2 linked regions of the Coturnix japonica genome follow. The main gene of each other region encodes a partner of the protein of the gene in region 2 in a complex. Links are inferred from orthologs where the notes say so. Each region holds a gene or a part of one and is shown on either strand. Other genes may lie near its edges. The genes, in order: POLR2F and TAF1B.

Region 1 (4,467 bases), on a different chromosome or scaffold from region 2:
CCCAACTGCTCTCTAGAGCACACACTTAGGTGGTGACCTGAAGCAACTTAGGCTGAACTTGGAGATCTGACTGGAGCACAACCCATGGGGTTTTGGCAACAGCAAAGGGAGCTGTAATAGATAAAGTCTGCAAGAGCAACTGCAATGCACTGAGCAGAGGGACAAATCAATTTGAGAACCCAGTATGTAAAGGAATCCAGTTACTCTGCTTGAAGATTACCTGCATGCAACATAGTAACCTGCTTTCTACACTGGCAAACTGTGTGCCACCAGGGCACTCTGCTGTGGGCCTCTAAGCAGTGATCCAGAAACTGCCAGAAAAGGTTCAAATCAATCTCTCTGTATGCAAGAGGTGCGTCTCCTGCCAGCACAATAAGCCAAGTATAGAAGGGTGCAGTGAAACAACATTCTGACCAGAGTCTCCACATCACCACCCTGACCCCAGTTTTGTTTATTTAAGTCAGCAATTCATCTGAGCACAGGTCTGTTCAGAAGGCTGCTTCAAATTAATTCCTTTCAGAGAATTAAACTGATTCCTTATGGGGATCTTTGGTTCTCATCATAGAAATGACTCTTATATAAAAAGAGGTCAGAGCACTGCTCATCATCAGCAAGAACTCCTAGGATGGGAGAAGCTGTGGAGAAGGTCCAAGGAGGAAAAGTGGAAGGAAACTGCAGAACTCACCGTGGTTGATAAAAAAAGAAGGTTGTCTTAGAATATACTGCATGGAATAAGTTGTAAAGTGCTGAGATAAGCAGAGGATAGCTTGCTTTGTAGAAAACAATACATACACTGCCTAAGGCTGGGACTTACTTGAGTTCTTTCATGGCAATCAGCAAGGGGTCTGTCTCTCCTTCCAGCTCCACCATCACGGGTGCACACATCCTGGGACAAACAGCAACAGCCATTTCAGAGAATGTACAGAAAGACAGAAGGGCCAACATATGACTGCATGCTGCACTCTTATCCACTCTGGGACAAAGGTTATCCCCAAGTGGCTACGGATTGAGTTTTCATTTGAATGCTCTTAATCCACCCCTCATCCTCTGCAAGTCAGCTGGGACTTGAGTGCTGGTCAGAACCACACCTGTCTAGTCTCACTGTGCTGTACTTATATGTGAAGAATAAGGGCAGATCTAAAATTAAAAATAATAGAGTTGGAACACTATAAAATGGGAATCTGACTTGCTTGAATCTTCAAGGCTTCCTTCAAAGGAAAACAAAGGGCTAGATTTATAATGCACTCTATCTCTAGAGCAAAAAAACAAATGCGTTTTGGTGAGGGCTGTAACAGTAAAGCAAACACAGTTGACAACTGTCTCAGGTGGCAGCAGAAGCAACAGAAGTTCACATTATGTGTGGGTAAAGCCACTGGGGGGCTGCTGCTGGCCTAGAGTCAACATCAATAGTCAACAGAATACGGAGGTGATAGAGACCAGGCACCAGTGTTTTGTATTAAATGCCTGGCACTGGCTCATCCCATCTCTTCCATCCTTCTGGCCTGCCACCAGTTGAAACAACATGCACAGAATTCCTTCCTGGAGTGATAACCAGGCGAAGAATAGCTCAGCAAAGTGATGATTAAGCAAAGATCACATAGAAGCTCATTGGTGGTAATCGAATCAGCTTCATTTTCAGGGTGGATGTAGCTAAGATTCCTTTCAGACCAATTTCAACACAGCCTAATCATCTCACTTACACAGCAGTTTCTCAAAGATCACAAAGGTTTTAGCAGGCATTACTAAAACAGATCTGGACAGATAAAAGGAAGAATTTGAGAGGAACTTGTCTTAAGGAGTGCTTAAAAGAGGATTTAAATGTTATTACCTATTAGAAGTGATGCTCCACTATTCCAAATAGTTAGTGAACATACAGTGTGCCACAATATAACCGTATGCTTAGTATTTCAAGACAGCTGTGCCATTCCTAGAGTTCTGATAGCCTTGTGATAATAATTAATGATATTACTTTATTACTTTTATTCAGCTTCCTCAAAGCTGAACTTTGCAGTAGTAGTTCTGAGTTTCCCAGCTCATGCTGGCTGCCTTATAGAAGGCAGAAAGCAGAACCAGAATGCCACGTTACCCACTCCATCTGCTTGTGACCCACAGCATCAGCTGGGGTGAGATTCAGAACTCACGTGTGGCTGACAGCTCACAGTATTGCTTTTTATTGCTTTTCACTGTTGATGGAGATGGCGATTCCCAAGCGGAACCGCCAGGTAAAGAATCACTTAAGGCTTTAGGGAGAAAGGAAGGAGCTTTAACAGGTCAAGCCATGAGAAGCACACAGTCCTACAGCAGGGATCCAGCTAATACTCACGCGATCTGGAGGGCACGTGTGCCCAGCACTCTGGCTCTCTCATACTTGGTCATGTAGGGGGTGGTGATTCGCTTCTGGTTCGCTGCCTGGCGCTCTCCGGAGGGGAGGATCTCCACGTTCTCCTGTCCCTCCTGGGTAAAGCACAGCACGACACAGCACCGTTACGGGCTGACTCCATGACCCGGAATGATCCATGATCGGAGCCCCGCAGAGCACCCACCTCCTCCACGTTCTCCAGGTCATCCAGCCCCTCGTCTTCCTCCACATCATCGAAGTCATCCCCATCGAAGCTGTGAGAGACAGGCAAGCACACATCGCACACAGGCCGGGAGACAGCGCCTGGACTCGGACTTAGCGCTGGACCGTCTCTAAGTCCAGGCTTTGATCTCTGATCCCAGCCCCCAGCCTCAGCCCTCAGCCCTCAGCCTCAGCCCTCAGCCCTCAGCCCTCAGCCCTCAGCCCTCAGCCCTCAGCCCTCAGCCCTCAGCCCTCAGCCTCAGCCTCAGCCTCAGCCTCAGCCTCAGCCTCAGCCTCAGCCTCAGCCTCAGCCTCAGCCTCAGCCTCAGCCTCAGCCTCAGCCTCAGCCCCACTCTCACTTGTCCTCGTTGTCCGACATCTTGTTTCCTCGCTCCCCGGCGGAAGTACTACCCACTTCCGGTCGTGCGCCGTGACGTCACGTTTCCGGAAGTAAACCGGCGGCGCCGTTGCCACAGAGACAGGACGCGGCTCCGCCTGCCCCGCTGTCCCTAATTGTTCTCCCACCGTCGCCACCAGCCATGGCCTTATCGACGGGAACGAGGCCAGCGGGAAGAGGCAGAGCCCGGTACAGCCCCGAGACACGAGAGGTGCTGAGAGGTAACGGGTTATGAGGGATGGAAGGCCGCGGGGACTCGGGGAAGGCGGTTGTGGGCCCTGTCCTGGGTCCTGTGCTGGGCCCTGTGCTGGGCTCTGTCCTGGATCCTGTCCTGGGTCCTGTCCTGGGCCGTGTCCTGGGCTCTGCGGGGCCGGGGCAGCCCACTGTGCTGTGTAGTAACACGTAGCTGTTGTTTTTTAGCCCTGATGGAGGAGTCGAAGCTGACGAGTTTCCAGAGGCGATTCCTGATGGACTGTTTGAGGCGTGAGTGCTTCCCACCTGGCACTCCTTCCCCAGCACTGTGCTGAACGCTCTCTGCTGCTTGCACTGCGGCCTTCTAGTACTTGAGGGAAGCTTACAAGGATGGAGATGGACTTTTTACACTGCGTAATGGTGACAGGACAAGGGGGAATGGCTTTAAACTAAAAGAGGGGAAATTTAGGTTAGATATTAGGGAGAAATTTTTCACTGAGAGGGTGGTGAGGTGCTGGCACAGGCTGCCCAGAGAAGCTGTGGGTGCCCCACCTCTGGAGGTGCCCAAAGCCAAGTTGAGCAGCTTGACCTGGTGGATGGAAGCCCTACCAATGGCAGGAGGTTGGAACAGGGTGGTCTTTGAGGTCCTTTCCAACTTAAGCCATTTTATGGTTTTATGACCTTCTGCTGGTGGTAGGCTGGGGCCACTTGCCCAGACTCCTCTGCATCTGACATCAATATGTTGGGTTTGTTCTCCAGGGGGAGATTCTCTGCCCCTCCAATGCCACCCTACCTCCAGCCAAGAACAAGTGCTCGCGCCTCCTGCTTCCTCCCCACCGTGCCATCAGCCAAGCAAGCTGCCAGCTAAACCCCATCTTCGGCCTGCTGAGGTCTGCCGAGCAGGAGATGCCTACATCCGAGAGAAATTCAGGCCACAGGCAAGGCGTAAGTAAGCAAACATCACAGATAAATAAATCATGCTGTCCAGTTCTTCTCTTTCCCTTATGTCTAACCCCTCAGCACCTTTAGGGAATATCCTTAATTATTCTTCATGCTTTCTGTCTTCAAAGATGCTTTAAAGGGAGATCTCTGAGGGAGCGCCTGCTGCAAATGCTCACAGAGTTCTGCCTGCTGCCCAGGGGGACAATAGGTGACAGGAACTTGCACAATCCTTTGTAAGAAGAGATCACTGTGTAATTTTCTAGCTTGTAAACAAGGGTGAAACTTTAGAGCTCAGACTGGTTTGCCCATTACCATGTGTAGCAGAGTTCAGTCTGGGGCTGTGCTGTCACTTACATCATGCTTCCTCTGCCATCGT
Region 2 (3,813 bases):
TTTTTATGACCTGTATCTAACAAAGTCATTCACTAATTGGAAAAAGATAGGAAAGAGATCCTGAAGTGATCTGGGGAGAGGAATGCCTATGTTTCAAGACAAAAGATAATAGTTTAACTGCAATCAACCATAAAAATCAAAGCTGAGGAAGGTTTTTGTAACCTGTATCTTCCATGTAAGCATATGCTAAATGATAGAAAGGGTAAAAAGCTATTATAGGCAAAAGAAACTTCCAGAACAGGAACAGGAAAACTGTCCAGAAATAATGAGCCAAATGTACAAACTGCATTAACACCAGATCAAGTATGGTTCTAGGGGACTCTTTGTATAGGCATTCCTTGTCTCTACTATTTAAAACTTAAGATGAATCTTGCCTTGTTGAAATGATATGATGTGAGATTCCTGGCTGCAATAACTCAATGATCCCGTTGGTTCTTTCCTATCTCAAAGAGAACAAGATCCAGACGGAGAATATAAAGTGGCATGGAATTAATGAACAACAAATGGTTTTTCATTTTTCCTATTGACAAGGGAACTAAATTGCTCCTGAGGAAACCATTTCAGAATGAAATAAACAAATCTGTTTTTACCCAGAATGTGACTTAACTGCGACATCACCACTACAGAATTTTGAAGGATAAAAACATTACTAAAAACCCAATGCATTCTTGCACAGTAAGTCTAACATGAATTATTCAAACTAAACAGGAGTATAATAACGAGCTTAAAAGTTCCTGGATCAGTCGCTTCCAGAAACGGGAAGAGTATCTAAGGAGAAAAACATCACTTGCCACATTAACACCTCTCTCCCACTACCTGTTGCTTACTACTATCAAAAGTAGAATGAAGAACCTCAGGTTTTATTTAGTTTAATAAAATTCCTGTTTTCCTATTTACAAGGATGAGTGCAGTCTCTGTTGGTTTTGTTTGTTTGTTTCTGTTTGGTGGATTTTTTGTTTGTTTTAAATGGAATAGTAAAACCCAGTCACTGGGTTCCTGATCTGAAGTGTGGCAGCCCTGCCTATGGCAGGGAGCTCGGACTAGATGATCTTTAAGGTCCCTTCCAAACCAAGTAATTAATTTATACTTCCATATATATTAAAAGGAAGGGATCTTCATTCTGACCATGAACAACCAGCTGTTCAAGCAAAACCACACTCAGAGAAATCCTTCTCACCTTCTGTAGAAGACTGCAAGAGTAACTAGGAGAAAAGAGGGACAGGAGGGTCTACCCAAGGACAAACGTGATATATACGTGGAAAGAGAGAGGAGCTGAAAAGCCATGGAAGATCAACAAAAAATTATGAAGAGCACAGTAATACGAAGGCAGCTGACAGATGAGTGAGATGAGGACAAAGTACTAACTCTGAGACTACATTAAGTAGATCACTGTGAAGGCTGCAGTTTCAGTTAAGCAGTAGGAAAACGTCTGATTGAAGAATTCCAGCCACGGGTTGTAAAACAGTACAACATTCATTGTGCCCAGAGATGAAAGACTGAAGGGAAAGTATTTTAAGATGTAAATATTATTACAGTCAGAATTTCTATGATGGGAAAAGTTGGGGCAGACTTCTGTGCTGGCGGAAAGAGGTGGAGTTTACTCACGTCTTTTCCTAAGGATTTTAGATTTCTTCTTGAGTGAATAAAACAGGGGCTTTTCACATTTCCACAGATACCTACAAGTAAGAGAAATAAAAACTGTTAGGAAAAAGAAAACTAGAAAAAGCAAGTCAAATCGTAATTTCTTAATTAGATACAGCTATTAAAATAAAAACAAAATAATCTGTTGTTAACACCATTAAAAGACACCTCCTCCAAAACATACAGCAGCCTTTTTCTGCATAGATAAATGGAGGAATGTAAGCCTAGATTCACTGTGATCAGTTAATTGTTCAATTATATAAGCTACTTGTCACAGACAGTGTTTAATCAACATGCTGGATAAATATCATTATTGTAAACAGAAAATTGAGACACGGATGGAATCACTGTTCACCTAAATGTGCAGGATGGGAACATTGGAGCAAAGTCCAAACTTTTTCAGCTCCTGTGGGGGGTCAGGATTTCACTTACAATCATCTACCTTAATATTGCTATTATCATTATCCAGTACTTAAAAATCTCTTACTTGGCCTTTTCTTCATCCAGTTTTTTTTGCTCCACATCCAAGGTACATTTTATAACCTTGTACCACTTTTTGAACTCGAAATAAGGGCCACCTGAATAAAACATTCGTAATTTAGTTTTAGGTTGTGAAGGAGTGAAAGAAATGTGATACATAGAATGTGGTCACCATGCAGTTGGACTCTGCATCTCCCGTCTGTAGGCAAATCTTTAATTCCATCTGCTTATAGAAAACACACTTAACCCAACATTTCTGTAAGACAGAGAAAATGAAAAGCAGAAATACTAGAAAGGAACAGCATAAGAGGTGGGAAGAAACACCTCTGCTCAGAATATGTTTCCTAGTTTTAGACAAGTTAATCCTTCTCCCTCCTTTCTGAAAGTTAAGTGTAATTGCTACCAGAACTAGATCTCCACAACACTAACTGGTCTTCTTCCTCTGCTTGAAATCTGACTTCAAGGAATTCATGAAACTGTAGAAGCTTAGTTCTAAACAAATTCTGAAGCTCAGATGTAGGAGGTGAAGCAGTGTCACAGAATCACAGAATTGTAGGGGTTGGAAGGGACCTCTAGAGATCATCGAGTCCAACCCCCAACCCCACACCATCCATCCTGCTGCCCATGAGATGTTGCAAGGCAAGAAGGATAATCCAGACAATTGTATTCACTGAGTACCAGCGTCCCACATACACTGGATTCTCACTCATTGATATGTGAACAAATACATAGCAGTGCATGCAAAAACGTTAAGGCATAAGTCATTCCAGCAGCATGTTTACCACTGATACTCCAGAGAGGCACAGGATTGAAGTAGATCAACAGGGTACAATAAGTATAAGAACTGTGAACAGAACTATGGTGCAGGGTAAATTTAAATAACCAACTCTTATTATCCGTGGGTGTATTATCTGCATCATGAATTAACCAGGCTTTGCATTTCCCCATCACCCCAGCTGCTCTGCAAGGATGCTTGCATCATGCTCACTTCTAAAGAGCTAGCTGGCAAACTGTTCTGAAGGTGAATATACTGTTCTTATAAGCAAAGTTCTGTATGTCTTCTATGCTTTTGCTACTCAAGTTATCCTGCCACAAGAGGCCTTACAAACAAGAACTACAGCTGGCCTGAAATGGACAAACAAGGGGAAGAAAGACCCGTCAGTTATTAAAATGCAATGACATGGATAAAGTTCTGTTTCGAACTCCTCTGCACAGAGGGTGCTGGGAGGTTGGCCTGTGGGAAGAAAATAATTTTTGTATTTAACTTAATACAAATTATTCCAACATCTGTCACAAGGAAGCCCACTGTCAGGGACATGACACTAACCGTCCACGTGGCTGGTACTGCTAGTCCTGCATCGACACGGCTGAGTCAACTGGCAAATGCACAGCTCTGTGATGCACTCACACATATACACATACCTCAATCACATTTTATTTGAGCATAAACAGCATTGTGTACATGTGCAGTCTGCAGAACATACACTCACAGACACACGCAAGGAAGCTACAGCTACAACTGCTTCCAGGCTGTCTTGAGATGTAGGAGCTGAAATATTTTATACAGCAAAAGAAAAAGACTAGAGAGAGGATGGCTGTATTGCAAGTACAATATGCCAGATATGCTGGATCGTTACAGTGCAGTATCAGCTATTATTCATCTGAGCACACTAAGCTTGGTCAAGTGCCAGG

Evidence for each region.
Region 1: TAF1B (region 2) and POLR2F share a complex: the UniProt entries of both Homo sapiens proteins name them as parts of the pol I pre-initiation complex. The link is inferred for Coturnix japonica from reciprocal best matches to the Homo sapiens genes TAF1B and POLR2F.

Annotation. Positions count from the first base shown.
Region 1 is NC_029516.1:46,598,654-46,603,120, forward strand, and holds the start of POLR2F (DNA-directed RNA polymerases I, II, and III subunit RPABC2), read right to left. Parts: upstream 3,037-4,467; 5' UTR 2,940-3,036; coding exon 2,920-2,939; intron 2,614-2,919; coding exon 2,544-2,613; intron 2,455-2,543; coding exon 2,324-2,454; intron 887-2,323; coding exon 815-886; intron 1-814. Other genes in the region: C1H22orf23 (UPF0193 protein EVG1), read left to right, coding at 3,100-3,178, 3,378-3,440, 3,909-4,094. UniProt on the Homo sapiens protein: DNA-dependent RNA polymerase catalyzes the transcription of DNA into RNA using the four ribonucleoside triphosphates as substrates.
Region 2 is NC_029518.1:87,994,932-87,998,744, reverse strand, and holds part of TAF1B (TATA box-binding protein-associated factor RNA polymerase I subunit B), read right to left. Parts: intron 2,220-3,813; coding exon 2,129-2,219; intron 1,677-2,128; coding exon 1,606-1,676; intron 1-1,605. UniProt on the Homo sapiens protein: Component of RNA polymerase I core factor complex that acts as a GTF2B/TFIIB-like factor and plays a key role in multiple steps during transcription initiation such as pre-initiation complex (PIC) assembly and postpolymerase recruitment events in polymerase I (Pol I) transcription.